2 linked regions of the Stegostoma tigrinum genome follow. The protein of the gene in region 1 purifies or fractionates together with the protein of each later gene. This does not show direct contact. Links are inferred from orthologs where the notes say so. Each region holds a gene or a part of one and is shown in the gene's direction. Other genes may lie near its edges.

What was found.
Region 2: the proteins of leucine zipper putative tumor suppressor 3 (region 1) and dyrk1aa purify together in Homo sapiens (affinity purification with mass spectrometry; 3 studies listed by BioGRID and IntAct, with this or other methods). This does not show direct contact. The link is inferred for Stegostoma tigrinum from reciprocal best matches to the Homo sapiens genes LZTS3 and DYRK1A.

The regions. Positions count from the first base shown.
Region 1 is NC_081354.1:169,586,180-169,593,996, forward strand, and holds the start of leucine zipper putative tumor suppressor 3, read left to right. Parts: upstream 1-4,804; 5' UTR 4,805-4,927; intron 4,928-7,817. UniProt on the Homo sapiens protein: May be involved in promoting the maturation of dendritic spines, probably via regulating SIPA1L1 levels at the postsynaptic density of synapses.
Region 2 is NC_081365.1:17,522,351-17,530,213, forward strand, and holds the start of dyrk1aa (dual specificity tyrosine-phosphorylation-regulated kinase 1A), read left to right. Parts: upstream 1-4,860; 5' UTR 4,861-5,255; intron 5,256-5,448; exon of another isoform or gene 5,449-5,624; intron 5,625-7,863. UniProt on the Homo sapiens protein: Dual-specificity kinase which possesses both serine/threonine and tyrosine kinase activities. Exhibits a substrate preference for proline at position P+1 and arginine at position P-3.

The DNA.
Region 1 (7,817 bases):
GGAGTCAATTATCATTGGTGTATCAACACTCTGCTTTAACAATTCCTCTGAGGAACAACAAATTGGCCTGCATTTACCAAGATCAGACCATTCACTCCCACCCACTGAGCTCCAACTAGACTCATGCAGTGGATGCACCAGTGGTGCCTATCTAATACAGATCCTGTATCAGTCTTTAGAGGAGATGATGGCCGAGTGGTGTTATCCTGGATGGTTAATCCAGAAACCCAGGCAATGTTCTGCAGACCCGGGTTCAAATCCTGCCACAGCAGATGGTGGAATTTGAATTCAATAAATATCTGGAATTAAGAATGTAATGATGACTGTGAATCCATTGTCGATTGAATCCATTGTAAATCCTATCTCTTATAATCCTTTCCAAAACTTTTCCTACAACAGACATAAGGCTCACAGGTCTATAATTACCTGGGTCATCTCTACTGCCCTTCTTGAACAAGGGCACAACATTTGCAATCCTCCAGTCCTCTGGTACTAAGCCTGTAGACAATGAGGACTCAAAGATCAAGGTCAAAGGCTCCGCCACATCCTCCCTAGCTTCCCAGACAATCCTCGGAAAAATCCTATCCGGCCCAGGGGATTTATCTACCTTCACACCTTCTAGAATTGATAACACCTCCTCCTTACTAACCTTAATCCTTTCAATTCTAGTAGCCCGTAACTCAGTCTTCTCCTCTACAATACTCTCCTTTTCCTGAGTGAAAACAGATGAGAAATATTTGTTTAGCACCTCTCCGCTCTCTACAGGGTCCACACACAACTTCCCACTTCTGTCTTTGACTGGCCCTATTCCTACCCTAGTCATCCTCTTATTCCTCACATACCTATAGAAAGCTTTAGGGTTCTCCTTTATTCTGCCTGCTAATGTCTGCTCATGTCCCCTCCTTGCTCTTCTTAACTCTCTCTTTAAATCCTTCCGAGCTAATCTGTAACTCTCCATCGCCTCATCTGAACCATCTCGTCTCATTGTCACATAAGCCTCCCTCTTCCGCTTAACAAGAGATACAATTTCTTTAGTAAACCACGGTTCCCTTACCTTATCACTTCCTCCCTGCCTGACAGGGACATACCTATCAAGGACACGCAATATCTTTCCTTTAAACCAGCTCCACATTTCGATTGTCCCCATCCCCTGCATTTTGCTACCCCATTCTATGCCTCCTATGTCTTGTCTAATCGCATTATAATTGCTCTTCGCCCATCTATAACTCTTGCCCTGTGGCATGTTCCTATCCCTTTCCTTCGCTAAACTAAACGTAACAAAATTATGGTCACTCTCTCCAAAGTGCTCACCTACCACTAAATCAAACACCTGGCCTGGTTCGTTACCAAGTACCAGATCCAGCGTAGCCTCCCCTCTTGTCGGCCCTTCGACATACTGAGTCAGGAAACCGTCCTGCACACATTGGACAAAATCTGATCCATCTGACGTACTAGAGTTATAGCAATTCCAGTCAATGTTAGGGAAGTTAAAGTCTCCCATAATAACCGCCCAGTTCCTTTCACTCCTGCCCAGAATCGTTTTGCCGATCCTCTCCTCCACATCCTTGGAACTTTGCGGAGGCCTATAAAAAACTCCCAGCTGTGTGGCCTCTCCTCTCCTGTTTCTGACCTCAGCCCATACCACCTCAGTAGATGAGTCTTCATCAAAAGTTCTTTCAGCCACCGTTATACTGTCCTTGACTAACAAAGCCACACCTCCCCCTCTTTTACCACCTTCCCTGATCTTAATGAAAGATCTAAACCCTGGAACCTGCAATATCCATTCCTGACCCTGCTCTTTCCATGTCTCTGAAATGGCCACAACATCGAAGTCCCAGGTATCTATCCAAGCTGCAAGCTCACCTACCTTATTCCGGATACTCCTGGCATTGAAGTAGACACACTTCAAACCGGCTTGCTGTCTGCCAGCACACTCCTGCGTCAGAGAGGTCCAGTCCATATCCTCCCTACGCTCATCTTCCTGTGTACTGGAACTACACCACAGTTTCCCACCCCCCTGCTGAGCATTAAGTCCACCCGAATAGCACTAGCAAATTTCCCACCCAGGAAATTAGTACCCCTCACTTGGCCTCACTTGGAATATTGCGTGCAGTTCTGGTTGCCCCATTACAGGAAGGATGTGGAAGCAGTGGAAAGGTGCAGAGAAGATTTACCAGGATGTTGCCTGGTCTGGAGCGAAGGCCTATGAAGAAAGGTGGAGGGACTTGGGTCTGTTCTCATTGAAGAGAAGAAGGCTAAGAGGGAATTTAATAGGGACATACAAGATAATCAGAGGATTAGGTAGGGTGGACAGTGAGAGTCTTTTTCTGAGGATGATGATGTCAGCTTGTATGAGGGGGAATAGCTCCAAATTGAGGGGTGATAGATTTAAGACAGATGTCAGAGGCAGGTTCTTTACTCAGAGAGTGTTAAAGGCGTTTAACATCCTGCCTGCCAATGTAGTTAACTCAGCCACATTAGGGGCATTTAAACAGTCCTTGGATAAGCAGATGGATGATGATGGGTTAGTATAGGGGGAGGGCTTAGATTAATTCACAGGTCAGCACAACTTTGAGGGCCAAAGGGCATGTTCTGTGCTGTATTGTTTTATGTTCTATGAGTGTTGGAAAAATCCATCTGGTTCAGTAATATTCTTCAGTGAAGGAAACTGCCATCCTTACCTGGTCTGGCCTACATGTGACTCCAGATCCACAGCAATGTGGTTGATTCTTAACTGCCCTCTTGGCAATTAGAGATGGGCAGTAAATGCTGGCCTAGCCAGTGACATCCACATCCCATGAATGAATAAAGAAAACAAAAGGAGAGGGCTAAAGCCTGGCCTAGGTGAGTGAGCAGGATTTCCATCCCACTGCATTTTATGGCTCATCTCTCTATTCCAGTCTGTAAATTGTAGGTAGTAATTATGACCATAATTTTTTTTGTTGTCTGTAATGAAATTATAAATGAGTATATAACCATATTTCAGATTTGTGTCCATTAACATAGGGAGAAAATCACTTCCTTCATGATTAAAAAGTGTAATCAAGACTGCCATATGAAGTGTTTTTGAAAATGAATGAGAAGTGAGTGCGATGAGCTGTAACTGAAAATTGGTCTATTATTACAACATTACCTCGGAGAAATATTGTCCAAACGTTATGAATCATAGCTATGGTAACAACACATGTAAATAGTGCATTTTTTAATGTAATAAACCATTCTGAGAAGTTTCACAAGCAATTTGCACTATAAAACAAAATCAAAAAACAAAGCAGAGAGTAGGAATAAATGGATCATTGTCAGAAAGGCGGGCTGTTACTCATGGGTGCCACAATGATTCGTGCTAGGTCCACAGAATTCAAAATCTATAGAACTGATTTAGATTTTGGGGACATTGTAATATTTTTAATTATACTAATTCCACAAAACTGGGTGCATTTGAGGCCCTCTTGTTGCGTACTGGTAGTGTCGCTATCCTTGGATCGAGGAACCTGGGTTCAAGCCCCACCTGCTTCAGATGTGGAATAACATTTCTGAACAGGTTAATTAAAAAAAAATTGGGTAATTTCTAACATCAAGCAATTGGAGCTGAGTTTGGTTCTGCAAATTAAGCAACCTATAGCCATAGCCAGTCATGGTCGAGTAGTTAAGATGATGGATTTGAAATCCATTGGGTCCCTGCAAGTCAGTTTGAATCTCGCGGATGGAGGTTATAAATGTTCGGAGCCTCAGTGAAGCAGTCCATAGTATCCCTACCAACCTCTAAGGAAGAAGACCTAGTTCAAATTCCACTTGCTCCACAGGTATGTCATAACATGTCGAACAGGTTAAGATATCCACCACAATTTGATGCCAAGTCAGGTGCACTAATGCACGCTTTGAGTACAATATGTACAGCTCTTATAACACAGTGGTCGTGCCCCTACTTCTGAGCCAGGAGGCCTGGCTTCAATTCTCACCTGCTCCAGAGATGTGACATAACGTGTTTGAACTGACTGAATTTAAAACATCCACATGTGATGTAGTTATGGGCTGTGGCATGTAAGTTGTGAGTAACATTGTAGCAAGGCTTCAGGAAGACTTGCGTGCTAAATCATTAAGCTACAACATGGCAAAGAAAATATCATGTGAAGTTATTCACATTGGGAAAGAAAATAGACACTTGTTGAATGGTGAGAGGCTGAGAAGTGCAGGTGATCTCATTCCTGAATCTCTAAAAGTTAGCATGTGGCCGAAACAAGCAATTAGAAAAGCACATAGTATGTTGAACTTCATTGAAAGGGGAATTAAGTGCAGAACGACACACGTCTTGCTACAGTTGTACGGAACCTTGGTGAGATCTTGCGTTAAGTATTGTGTATACTTTTGATCGCTTATCTAAGAAAGGACATACATGCCATAGAAGACTATTACCTACAAAGGAGAACGAGTTCATGGAATTGAGATGCTTTGGGGTTAGGGAGTCAGTGAGAACACCGACCACAGTGAGAGGTGGGCTGCAGAAACTGCTGGAAGATCTCTGCAGGTCTGGCAGCAACTGTGGACAGAAAGCAAGATTAACGTTTCGGGACCCTTGTTCAGGTTCGTCCAGTGCCATTGCCGGAATTAAAATCAATGTGCACTTCGTGAAAGTGGGTTTCTGGAGGAACATATGTAAACGATGGAGCTGTCTTTCGCAGTTTGCAGGAGGGGTGAACACTGAGCAGGAGGAGGTGCTCTGCCGGTGAACGGCGAGCTGTCGCTGATAGGCTGCGTGCTGCCAGGAGGCTGTACCCCGAGCAGCAGCAGCAGCGACGAAGTGAGAGGAGGCGGCTGCTTCTAATCCTTTCCCGAACAAACCCAGCGCGGTGAGATCTGTAATAAACCCCCTGGTGCTCTCCTCTCCTTCCCCCGGCCGAGCCCTCAGCTACTGTCAGCACAATGAACGGTGAGTGGTCTGGTCCTTCTAATAATAACCCCAACCTTCCCTTCTTCGCCCCCCCCCCCAACAAAAAGACCGTGTCTTGGGAACATCTGCTCCAATGTGTGACAGCTTTGCAGGAGATTTAAGTTGTTCCCAAGTTGAGCGGCGAAACTCCGATTCGGAAACGGCTGCAAAGCTGTGATAGGTGGAAGGTCTGAAGAGGTGTGAAATATATGCACAGTTATTGAGGTAGGGAATCGGATCGGTTTGCAGGGGTTGTAAGTTGCGCGTACATTTTTCCCTGCACGATGTGTGCATTTCGTACAAGAAAAAGGATGCCACAGCTCTGATGGGGACAAGGAAACGCATAGGTTGGATGCAGCAGGTAATGCATGGTTTATTCCACTGGGGCTGTCACATGTATGTGAGGTTAAGTTTTTGGCCAGTTGCCTCGGTGATGTAAGCGGCTTGTGTACGTGATGTGACTTAAAGGACACTCTCAACTTCTTCATTGCCATTTCTGGAAAGCGGAGAAGGGTTGGCTGCACTGCACCATTAGCACCGCTGGCTTTAAAAGAAAAAAAAACCCCTCGAGTTTGTCCATTTTTTTTCCATAGCAATTGTTCCTGAATATTGTTCTGTTGTTGCAGCAATTGTCATTGTTTTGAACTGATGCTACAGCACCTCCTCCAGTGGTTTATATATTTATAAAAGAGGTCACGTCAGGTAACAACGATCGCCCCTCTGTCTTCCCCCACCCCACCATAAAATCCTCCTTTCCGGGGATTAAGCTGAGGAAATTAAACTGTCTCTTTGATGAAAGAGTAAAGTTGAGACTATGACCGCTTTTTACTCGTTTCCTTGCCGGTTTTTATGTGCCTGAAATATTGATTTTTTTTTGTTGGGAGGGGCTGCTGCTTTGAAGTGACCTGAGTCAGGCGGCTATGAAATCCGAGAGTAAAAGTGAGCAGACCGTGCACAATCGTTTACAAGAAATGTAGGGCAAGATTTATTTTCAAAAGGGAAATTTAGTTAATTAATGGACTGTGGGATGCTCTGGGAGTAGTAACACATTGCCCAATTCGCCAAGAACGGGCTGCTCTGCTTCAGAAAGTTGCCAAGGATGGAATACTATCGGGAGGGGCCTCAGTGAAAAATGGGCTAATGGTGGGATCAGACATGAAGACCTGCTCCATGTGACTCACTACACCTAGTTATTTTGATCAACCTTTTAAGACATGTTATGACAAGTGATTCTTGAAAACAAACCTTATAGCTGAGGAGTAGGGACTCTACTGCTGCAAGACAAAAAAATGTACAAGGTTCAGTCCTAAAGAGTTGAGCACGTCAGTCTCGTCTGGAGACTTCTTGAGCAACAGCTTAGACAGAAAACACCAAATGCTGGAAATCACACTGAATCGACAACATCCATGAAGACCAAGCAAGCTAACATTTCAACTCCAGGTGTGGGGAGTGTTGCTGAGTAAAGAGATCTTGGAGTGTAGTTTCATATTCCTTGAAGGTGAATTTTCAGGTAGTTAGGGCAGTGAAGAAGGGAGACAAACAGGAGGCTGGAAGAACACAGTCAGCCAGGCAGCATCTGGAGGAAAGGAGCTGCTAGCGTTTTGGTTATTACCCCTCTTGAGGACTGGATATGGGTTTAGGGGAGGGGTGTGGAGGAGTGGAAACAGAATGGTGGTGATGCGTGGACACGAGTAGTAGGTATGACCTGTTTGAAGGTGGAGTGAAGAAGGTGTTTGGTATGTTTGCCCTTATTGATCAGTGCATTGAGCAGGGGAATTGGGAGGCCATGTCACAGCTGTACAGGACATTGGTTAGTTCACATTTGGAGTATTGCATGCTGTTCTGGTCTCCCTCCCAAAGGAAGGATATTGTGAATTAGAATGTGTTCAGAGAAGATTTATGAGGATGTTGCCATGGTTGGAGGGTTTGAGCTAGAGGGAGATGCTGAATAGTCTGGGGCTATGTTCCCTGGAGTGTCAGAGGCTGAGGTATGACCTTATGGAGGCTTATACAATCATGAGGAGCATGGATCGGGGGAACAGGCAAGGTCTTTTCCCCAGGTTGGGGGAGTCCAAAACTAGAGAGCATTGGTTTAAGGTGAGAGGGGAAAGACATAAAAGGGACCTAAGGAGCTACTTTTTCTCACGGAGGGTGGCGCGTGTATGTAATGAGCTGCCGAGGCATCTGGATGGGTAAATGAATAGGAAGGGTTTCGAGGGAAAATGCTGGTAAATGGAACTAGGTTTATATAGGATAACTAGTCAGCATGGATGAGTTGGACTGGAGGGTCTGTTTCTGTGCTGTATATCTCTGACTAGAGGGTGGCTAATGTTGTTCTTTTGTCAAAGAAAAGTAGCAAAGACAAGTCAGGGAACTAAGGGCCAGTGAGTGTGACATCAGTGGTAGGCAGGGTATAGCAGAGGATACTGAGGGACAGGATCAACCAACATTTGGATAGTCAGTTTCTGATTTGGGATAATCCGCATGGATGTATTCTCCGGAATCTTGTCTGTCAAATCTTTGAGTTTTTCCAAGAGGTATGCAAGAGATGGATGAGGATGAGGCAGTGGATGTGGTCTGTATGGAAATTAGTAAGGCCTTTACAAGGTCCCACTCAGCAAACTAGCCATGAGTGTTAGATCGCATGGGATCCAGGGAAAGCTGGTCCAGTTTGGGCCAAAGGACCTGCTTTCATTCTGAATCACTCTGATTCTTCTTCAGAGGTGAAGTGAAGTGTGGAGGGGTCAGCATTTATGCTAAAGTTGGGTGGGGGGAAGGGTGTTGGGGTGGTAGGGTGGAGAGTGCTGGGGGAGAAAAGATGTTGATAGTTCAGATTAAGTAATTGGAATGTCAGAATGGCAGAACAGTGGTGTGTCTAACTGCCAGACTG
Region 2 (7,863 bases), on another chromosome or scaffold:
TTAAGGTCAATTAAATCAATTAAAGCCACCCCATCTATATATGTTTAACTGTATTGATACAATTAACACTCCAGTTATCTGGCTCTGTGGCAAATATTCCGTAACACTCTTGACTTGCACCTTGTAGGTGGTGGAGAGGTTTGGTGAGTCAGGCAGTGTGTTTCTCACGACAGAATTACTAGCCTCTGAACAGCTGCTGTCGTCTCAGCATTTGTGTGTCTAGTCTGTTAAGTTTTCTGATCAATGGTGACACCCAGGATTTTGAGACTTGAGAATTTACTTATGATAATGTAATTGAATATTAGGAGGAGATAGTCATTTTCTGCCATTTGTCTGGCATTAATATTATTTGTCATTTATAAACTCAAGCCAGAATTATGTGTCAAGTCAGTTTGCATGCAAACAGCGACTGCTTAATTGAATTGCAATCATCAGTGAATATATCCAGTTTTGGCTTTATTTTGGAAGGAATCTCAAGATGAATCGGCTGAAGATGGTTAAACTTAGGACATGAGAAAATTGGAGCTCTTATGGTGTAGTGATGGTGTCCCTACTTCAAAGGCAAGAGAATGGGTTAAAGTCCTACCTACTCCAGAGGTGTTTAATAACATTTATGAACAGATTGATTAGAAAATACCTATTAGATCTGACCAAGGATAATCAAAATAACCTTATGTGTGAGATGTGATCCCACCAGCGTGGAGTTTTCCTCCCTATTCCCATTGATTTAACTTCCTACTTGAGGCCCCACTTAGTCAAATACTGCCTTGTGTTGTCAAAGGCAGCTACTTACATTTCACTTCCACAATTCAGTCCATTTGTTGATTATCCAACCAAGGATATGCTGATGTCTGGAGCTGAGTGATTCTGGCCAACTCCTCAGTAACAGTAAACAGGTCACTGGTGAGTATCATCCCCTTTCATCACCTTGCTGATGATCAGGTGGAGGACAACAGGATGGTATGCTGGGTTGTAGGTGTCTTGCTTTTTAGTGAAAAGAATGTACCTTGGCAACTTTCCACTTCATTATATAAATGCCAGTGCTGGAGCACAAGACATTGTTAGTTCCATAGCCCTTATAGAATACAAACAATGGATTGTTTCTTGATATTATGGGGAGTAGAGTAAATTGATCAAGACTGGTTTCTATGATGTCGGGGATACCAAGCAGAGAGAACACTGGTTCACCCATTCGTTACTTTTGGTTGAAGATGGTGGTAAAATTCTCAGCCTTATCTCTCAGATTCATGTCCTGTACTCCATCATTAACAAGAATGGAGATGCTCATGGTATCTCCTCATCCTATTAACAATCCACCATTAATTGTAACTGGATATTGCAAGACATAAATATTTTGATCTGATTTATCATGATGGCATCACTTAGATCTCCTACTTAATAATGATGACATCCTATATTGTAGCTTCACCAGACTGATATCTTACTTTAGGTGTTAATGGTGCTGCTCCTCACATGTTCTCTTAAAATTGTCATTAAACTAGAGGTGATTCCCCAGCTTAATGGTAATGATAATAGGGGCAGCACGATGGCTAGTGCTGCTGCCTTACAGCAGCAGGAATCCGGGTTCAGCTTCAGCCTTAGGCAACTGTCTATGTGGAGTTTCGCATTCTCCCTTTGTCTGCATGGGTCTCCTCTGGGCACTCCAGTTTTATCCTACTGTCCAAAGATGTGCAGGTTAAGTGGATTTGTCATGCTAAATTGCCCATCGTGTCCAGGGATGTGCAAGCTAGCTGGAAATGTGGGGTTATGGGGATAAGTGTGTGTTTGGGTGGGATGCCCTTTGGTGGGTCAATGTGGACTCAGTGGGCCAAATGGCTTGCCCCCACTCTATACAGATTCTCATTCTATTCTGTGTGAGAGTGGGTAGTATGCTGGCCCATGGTGTTAGAGGCTGTGGTTGAACACAATTCTTCTGCTGCTGGTGGCCCACAGTGCTCCAGGAATCCTTTGCTTTGAGTTTGGTTTGGTCTGGTTTAAATCTACTTCATTCATGGTGGTAATGCCACACATTACAGAGGCTGTGTTCAGTGCCACATAAAGGCTGTTTAGGGATCAAAATAGATAGACTGGGGAAGTTTTCTTTTAAAAAAAAGCATTAGCTCTTGGGATGTGGACTTCACTGGTTGGACCAGCACTTATTGCCAATCTCTGATTGCCCTTGAGAATATGTGCTTTGCTGTATGCTGGTTTGCTGAAGTCCTTTGGGTATAGGAACACCATTGTCCTGTTAGGGAGTGAGTTCCAGGATTATAAACAGAGACACTGAAGGAACAGCAATTTTCTTCCACTGCAGGACTGTATGTGGCTTGAAGAGGAACATGCAGTTGGTGACTTTCCCAAACATCTGCTGCCCTTGTCTTTCTTAAGGTGACTGGTGGTGAGTTTCAATTAAGACCAAAGATTGTGAGTTTGGGAGGTGATATGTAAGGAGCTGTGTTGAGTTGCTGCAATGCATCTTATTTCAGAATTAGCAAGGCTAAAATAGATGCCATTTTGGCGACAGCCCCCTGCAAACAGTATTACTGGCTAAATTATTTGTAAAAAACACAGCTGCATCCTTAAGAGATCTAACCTGAGAACAACATTAAACCAGATGAGGTGATCTGCGACTTGCAAGAAGGCTTTAACAAGCTGTAAAGGAACGCTTTGCACACATCTTCAACTGGTCGATCCGAGGTACTTCTGGGAATTTGCGAAATACATGTAATGTCTGTTCGGAGCTGAGTTGGATCAATGGCCACGGGAAGGAACAGCTTGTTCTTTTTAATCTCAGCTGCAAGACATTCCACTGGTTTACTGGCATACCAAGTGACTGAAAGATTTTTTTTATAAAACGTAGTCTGGGCATCGCAGATAATACACTGGATCTGTCGACACGCGTTTCGGCATGTATTCAGATCATAATTCAGTTTTGTTTGAATTCACTCCGCGTCAAAATCGCGAGTTTGCTGCGAATGGAGCGCTGTGCTTCAGCTGTTCATCGCAAGGCTAGGAAGACGAGTCAGCCTCACCCCCGAGTGGCCTGTGGGGGGGGGGTTAACTCACAGGAATACCCCTGAGATTCTCTTCAGAACATTCATGTGACAGATTCCACGCTGTCGTGACTGTATGTAGGTGGAGAGAAGCAAGACTCATTCTCCTGCTAAATGTCAATTAATTTGTTGTCTCAGTATATATACAAAGCTACACTGAAGCTCAAAGATAAATGATACCTGCTTGTGACATGTCGACTTTCTGGAAGGGGCATTTCGACATTAATTTCCAGCGTTCAAGTCAATATGACAGCATGGGTGGCAAGTATCAGTAATCTATTTGCCTGTAAGTATGCCTGCTAACTCTGGCATACTCAGGTAGGGAAAGGGATATTGAGGATTATTAGGATGATTTTTATCGCTGCCCAAACTGGGGCTAGCTAACAGAAAATGGGCATTGACCTGGGACGATTCAGGTATGCGTCATTCACTCGGTACCGCACTGTGCGCTTTTGATCAAGAGGCGATCTACTTCACACACCCTTTCTCGTCTCCTCAAAAAATATTAACGGAGTGATGTTCCATAAATAGAACCACGGGTATAAATGCAAAATTGCAATCGAAATAAATTAACCATGAAGTCGTGTTGTTTTATTAATGTCACCATTCAAAAATACGAGGCTACATTTCCACTCACTATCGCCTGAGACCGTCGCCCCACCAATCCCAGACCAACAGAGTATGTGCCAGAATGTAACTCGTTAAAACTGTATGCCACGCTAGTTGATGAGAAATGAAGCGAAGAGCCGCTTGTCACACGATGTCTGTAAAACCGTTCTTTCGTCGCTGCAAGTGCTGTTAGAAGAATCAAAGCACCGTATCACCCTTCTGGCCAGAATAAAAAAAAGTCAATGAGAAGATACTTTTAGCCGCAAATGTCAATGCATGTCCTAAACCATTATTCGCTGCGGCTTTTCCGGTTTTGATTGCAGCGGTCGGGGGATATCAAGTAAATTTTTGCTCCTCCAGTGACATTTATTTGAGCGTTCAAGTTCAGTTGTGGGCTTTTCTCTATCGTTTATGTAACCGTGCGGCTCTGCAAACGGGCTCAATAGGGGGCAAGCCCATTCTGTCACAGCGTCTGTGTACTTTAGTGTGTTTGTGGGTCATCTTCATTCGAAACAACTCTTTTTGCCTTCTACTGCTGTTTGGAAGGTGTGCGAATGAAACAGGTATCCGCAATTCAAAAAGAAACATAAATAAAACATCACAGAGACACACGCACAGCCTTTTCTCCCTCCAATCTCAAAATAATCAGTGAGCAATATAGGTCAGTGTTCAGGGACGCAATGAAGGGAGGTTTCGAGTTGTGTTTTGGGTTCTTATGGGCGAGGAGAGGAAGAAGGAGAGTCTGGATCCTTGATGAAAAGTTTGGCAACTCTCGCAAAAAAAATCTATCTAATCTAAGGACTATGATTCTGTTAAAGGGAGCAACACAACAAAAAGACGTCTCGAGAAAATCAGAACAAGATACGAAAGAAACCTCAATTGTGTAATACTTGCATATACAGCAAGCGTGTTACAAAGAAAAGTACACACACAGGGAACCCCATCAGGTTCTAGATGGCGACCACTCGCTTGGCAACAAGAGTTTCTGCGGTTCTCGGTTATTTGGGCCTCGGGTTTAGATGAAGGGAGGAGATGGGCGTGATTGACGGTTTCCCTTCGCAACAGGCTCGGCCCCATTAATCGGTGCAGCATCCGGGGGATTGCGGCTGGCAACATCCTCAACGGCGCCTGGCCCCGCCTTTCCCCTTGCTGACGTCAAGGGCTCATCCGGGGCACCCGCTGTGATTGACAGTCCCCATAGCAACGCGCTCCGTCCGCCGCCATTTTGTTGTTAAGAGGAGAGAGAAGAGAGAGAAAAAAATTTTTTCAGGGCTTTCCCGCCTCGGAAATTTTTTTTTATCCGCGGGGAGGGGGTATTTTTTTTTGTCTCTCAACTCTACCTTTCTCACCTTAGCCCCTCTTTATCCCTCACTCACCCACTCCCTCCTTACCACCACCTTCCCTAACCTCCTCCTCCTCCGTTCTGATTTTTTTTCCCTCCTCCCTCGAAGGCGAGATCGGGAGATTCGGAGAGCGGGAGGAGAAAGTTGAATGGTCGGTGCGGCCGGAGAAGTCGGTCTGGCGAGCGGCGCAAGGAGGTGTAAAGCGGGTTTGAAAAAAGGCGGCGCCGAGGAGGTGTTTGCTGTTGCGCAGGTTTGTAGTGCGCGCCATTTTGTGAAATAAAAAAAGAGAGGGGGAAAAGACCGAGTGAGAGGAGGAAAGGTGGGGAGGGGGCTGGTCACAGGCACAGTTTGATCCTGAAGAGTCACTCACATCGAGGGGACAGCAGGCAGCTCGGGGGAGGCGGGGGTTGAGGCGATTCTGAATTCTCACACTTGAGATTTATTTATTATTTTCTTTCACACCATCTCCTTCATTCCTCTCCCCTCCCTTCCCCGTAACACCGCCCCTCGCCCAGAAAGGAGGGGACAGTAAACCCAAGCGGCGGCAGCGGCTTCTCAGCAACGAGAGCGGCCTGGGTGACAGAGGGAGGGAGAGAGATAGAAGAGAAATCGGGGAGAGGTTTGTCTTGACTTTCGTTCTAATTCATCAGCCACTTAATTCTATGTTCTCACCCCCCCCCCCCCCAGCGGCCTGACACTTATTTAAGACGTTGTTATAATTTGGTTGGCGGTCTCTTCTTAAAACAGTGTTATTAACATAAGGAGCTGAGAGAGGAAGATGGACTCTTTTTGACAGTGTTACTGCGCTGAACGTGTTAAAGTATATGTTGCATATCCGAGTGTCAGCCACAGGGCACAGCAATTTAGCAGGAATTAGAAACGTTAAGCATGTCATTTTCATCTGTGTATGACAGTTGTGCTATTTCAGTGATCTGGAGAAATTTTGTTAAGGCATGTAGCGTTTGTTTAGCCAGTACATGATGCACAATTCATGTCAGCATTGATACCCAGTCTTTAGTTAGACAGTGTGGTTTCCTTTTATTTTCCTTTGCTTTTGTCACATACAAGTAAAAGAAGATTGTTCTTTTGCAACATTGTGATTCGGATGGTGCCTGCCAACAAAACATGTTGGACTGTAACACATGCAATGCAAAGCCAAACACAGCAAATATTCTGAAAAAACGTTATTTATTTAAAAATGTTCTTTCTATGCAAAGAGTGGATAGACATTAAACTTTCAGATCTGAGTAGTACCATTCTTCTTGAACTGCTTTTCTAGCCGCAAAGCGCGAGATTTTTAATTCTAAAAACTGCAGTTGTTAAATTTTGTGCCGAATAAAACAAAACTTTAACCTGAAATGTGCAGGTGTCCAGTCCAATGCCCAATGTTAAACATATCAAATTGTGGCATTGCACTAATTTGCAGTGTGTTACTAAACTGGTACATCTAACAGCAGTCCAGAACATCGGTGAACAAATTAATGACAATTATGTGAGTGGCTTGATGAATATTTTGAGAACACAATGTAGACTAAGTTGTATGTTATTTTGGTCAAGTAAAAAGAGTTTTATTTAGATTGTATTGCCAGTGTCATCCTCAATAAATGAAATGTCAGTTGCCCCTAATTACGTTTTGGGGTTAAACTTTTTATCATCCAATGCAGATTTAGGCCTGGATCTTCAACGAGTTTCTGTTGATCTCAGTAAAGGGATCCTTCCAAAAATATCTTTGACATCGCTTTGTTTTCAATACTTAGACTTCAGAAAAATATTCTGTACCAAACTGATACTTTGACTTCACCATAAAATATCAGTTGGTCTGATTGGAATTTAGTTGTTTAGTCATGTGGTATTTTAAAGCCTGTAGAGTTGAAATACTGGGGCAAAAGTTCAGTTTTTGTGACAAGATCTATATAGGAAAAAGAAGTGTATTGTTGATTGAATTCTTTGAGCTTTCCAACTAATATCCAAATAAGTCCAGTAAAAATCTGCTCCAGGCTCTGTATGCTGTTCAGGTACTTTGGTATTTTGATTTCTGACTTGTATTTTATACATGTGATTGTGCCAGATTTAGTCATTGCATAACACTCACCTAAATCATAGATGTGTGTGTTCAGCGCCATTCCAAAGACCTAAGCAGGTAATCTTGGTTGTTGGATTAGTGCTTGTGCCCTGCTCTGTTTTGGATGTGACAAGAAGTCAAGACCCTGTTTGTTCTCTCAAATGATTGTTACAGATCCCATGCTACTTCAAGGAAGACTAGGCACTTTGCCAGATCTCCTGACCATCGATTATGCATCAACCAGTATTGTAAACAATGGTATGGTGCATCATTTCATTGCTAATTAAGGGATCTAGCTGTGTAAATTAGCTGCCAAATTTTTCTGCAACACTGCTGTTTTAAAGCAGTGTGACATTGACTTTGTGGAAGTATGACGTAAGAATATGATTGCAGTATAATTTGATTTAGAGAGTTCAAAACATAGGCTGGTAAAAGTTCATTTTTTATAAATTAATCAGTTTATTCTGATTTTAAAAGCCGCAGGAGAGATATATTTACTATACAAATATGGTAGTTTGTGTTCCTGAAAGTGAAGTTCATATATGTTAACTGTGTTCCAGGTTCTGCTTTCCTGTTGGTCTTCTTACCGACCTTCATTGCTCCCTTTTCATCTATATCTGAATTTAAGGAACTTTTTTTTCTGATAAAGTCCCTCCATGAGCTTGATTCTCCTGAGCCCAACAACCAGATTGGGTACTTGTCCCTTATCCTTGCTCTAAACACCCAGTTCTAACACTGTACCCTTTCATCTCAGCACGAAATACCCATTTCTGCCGCTGCATTCTGGAAGGCTGTT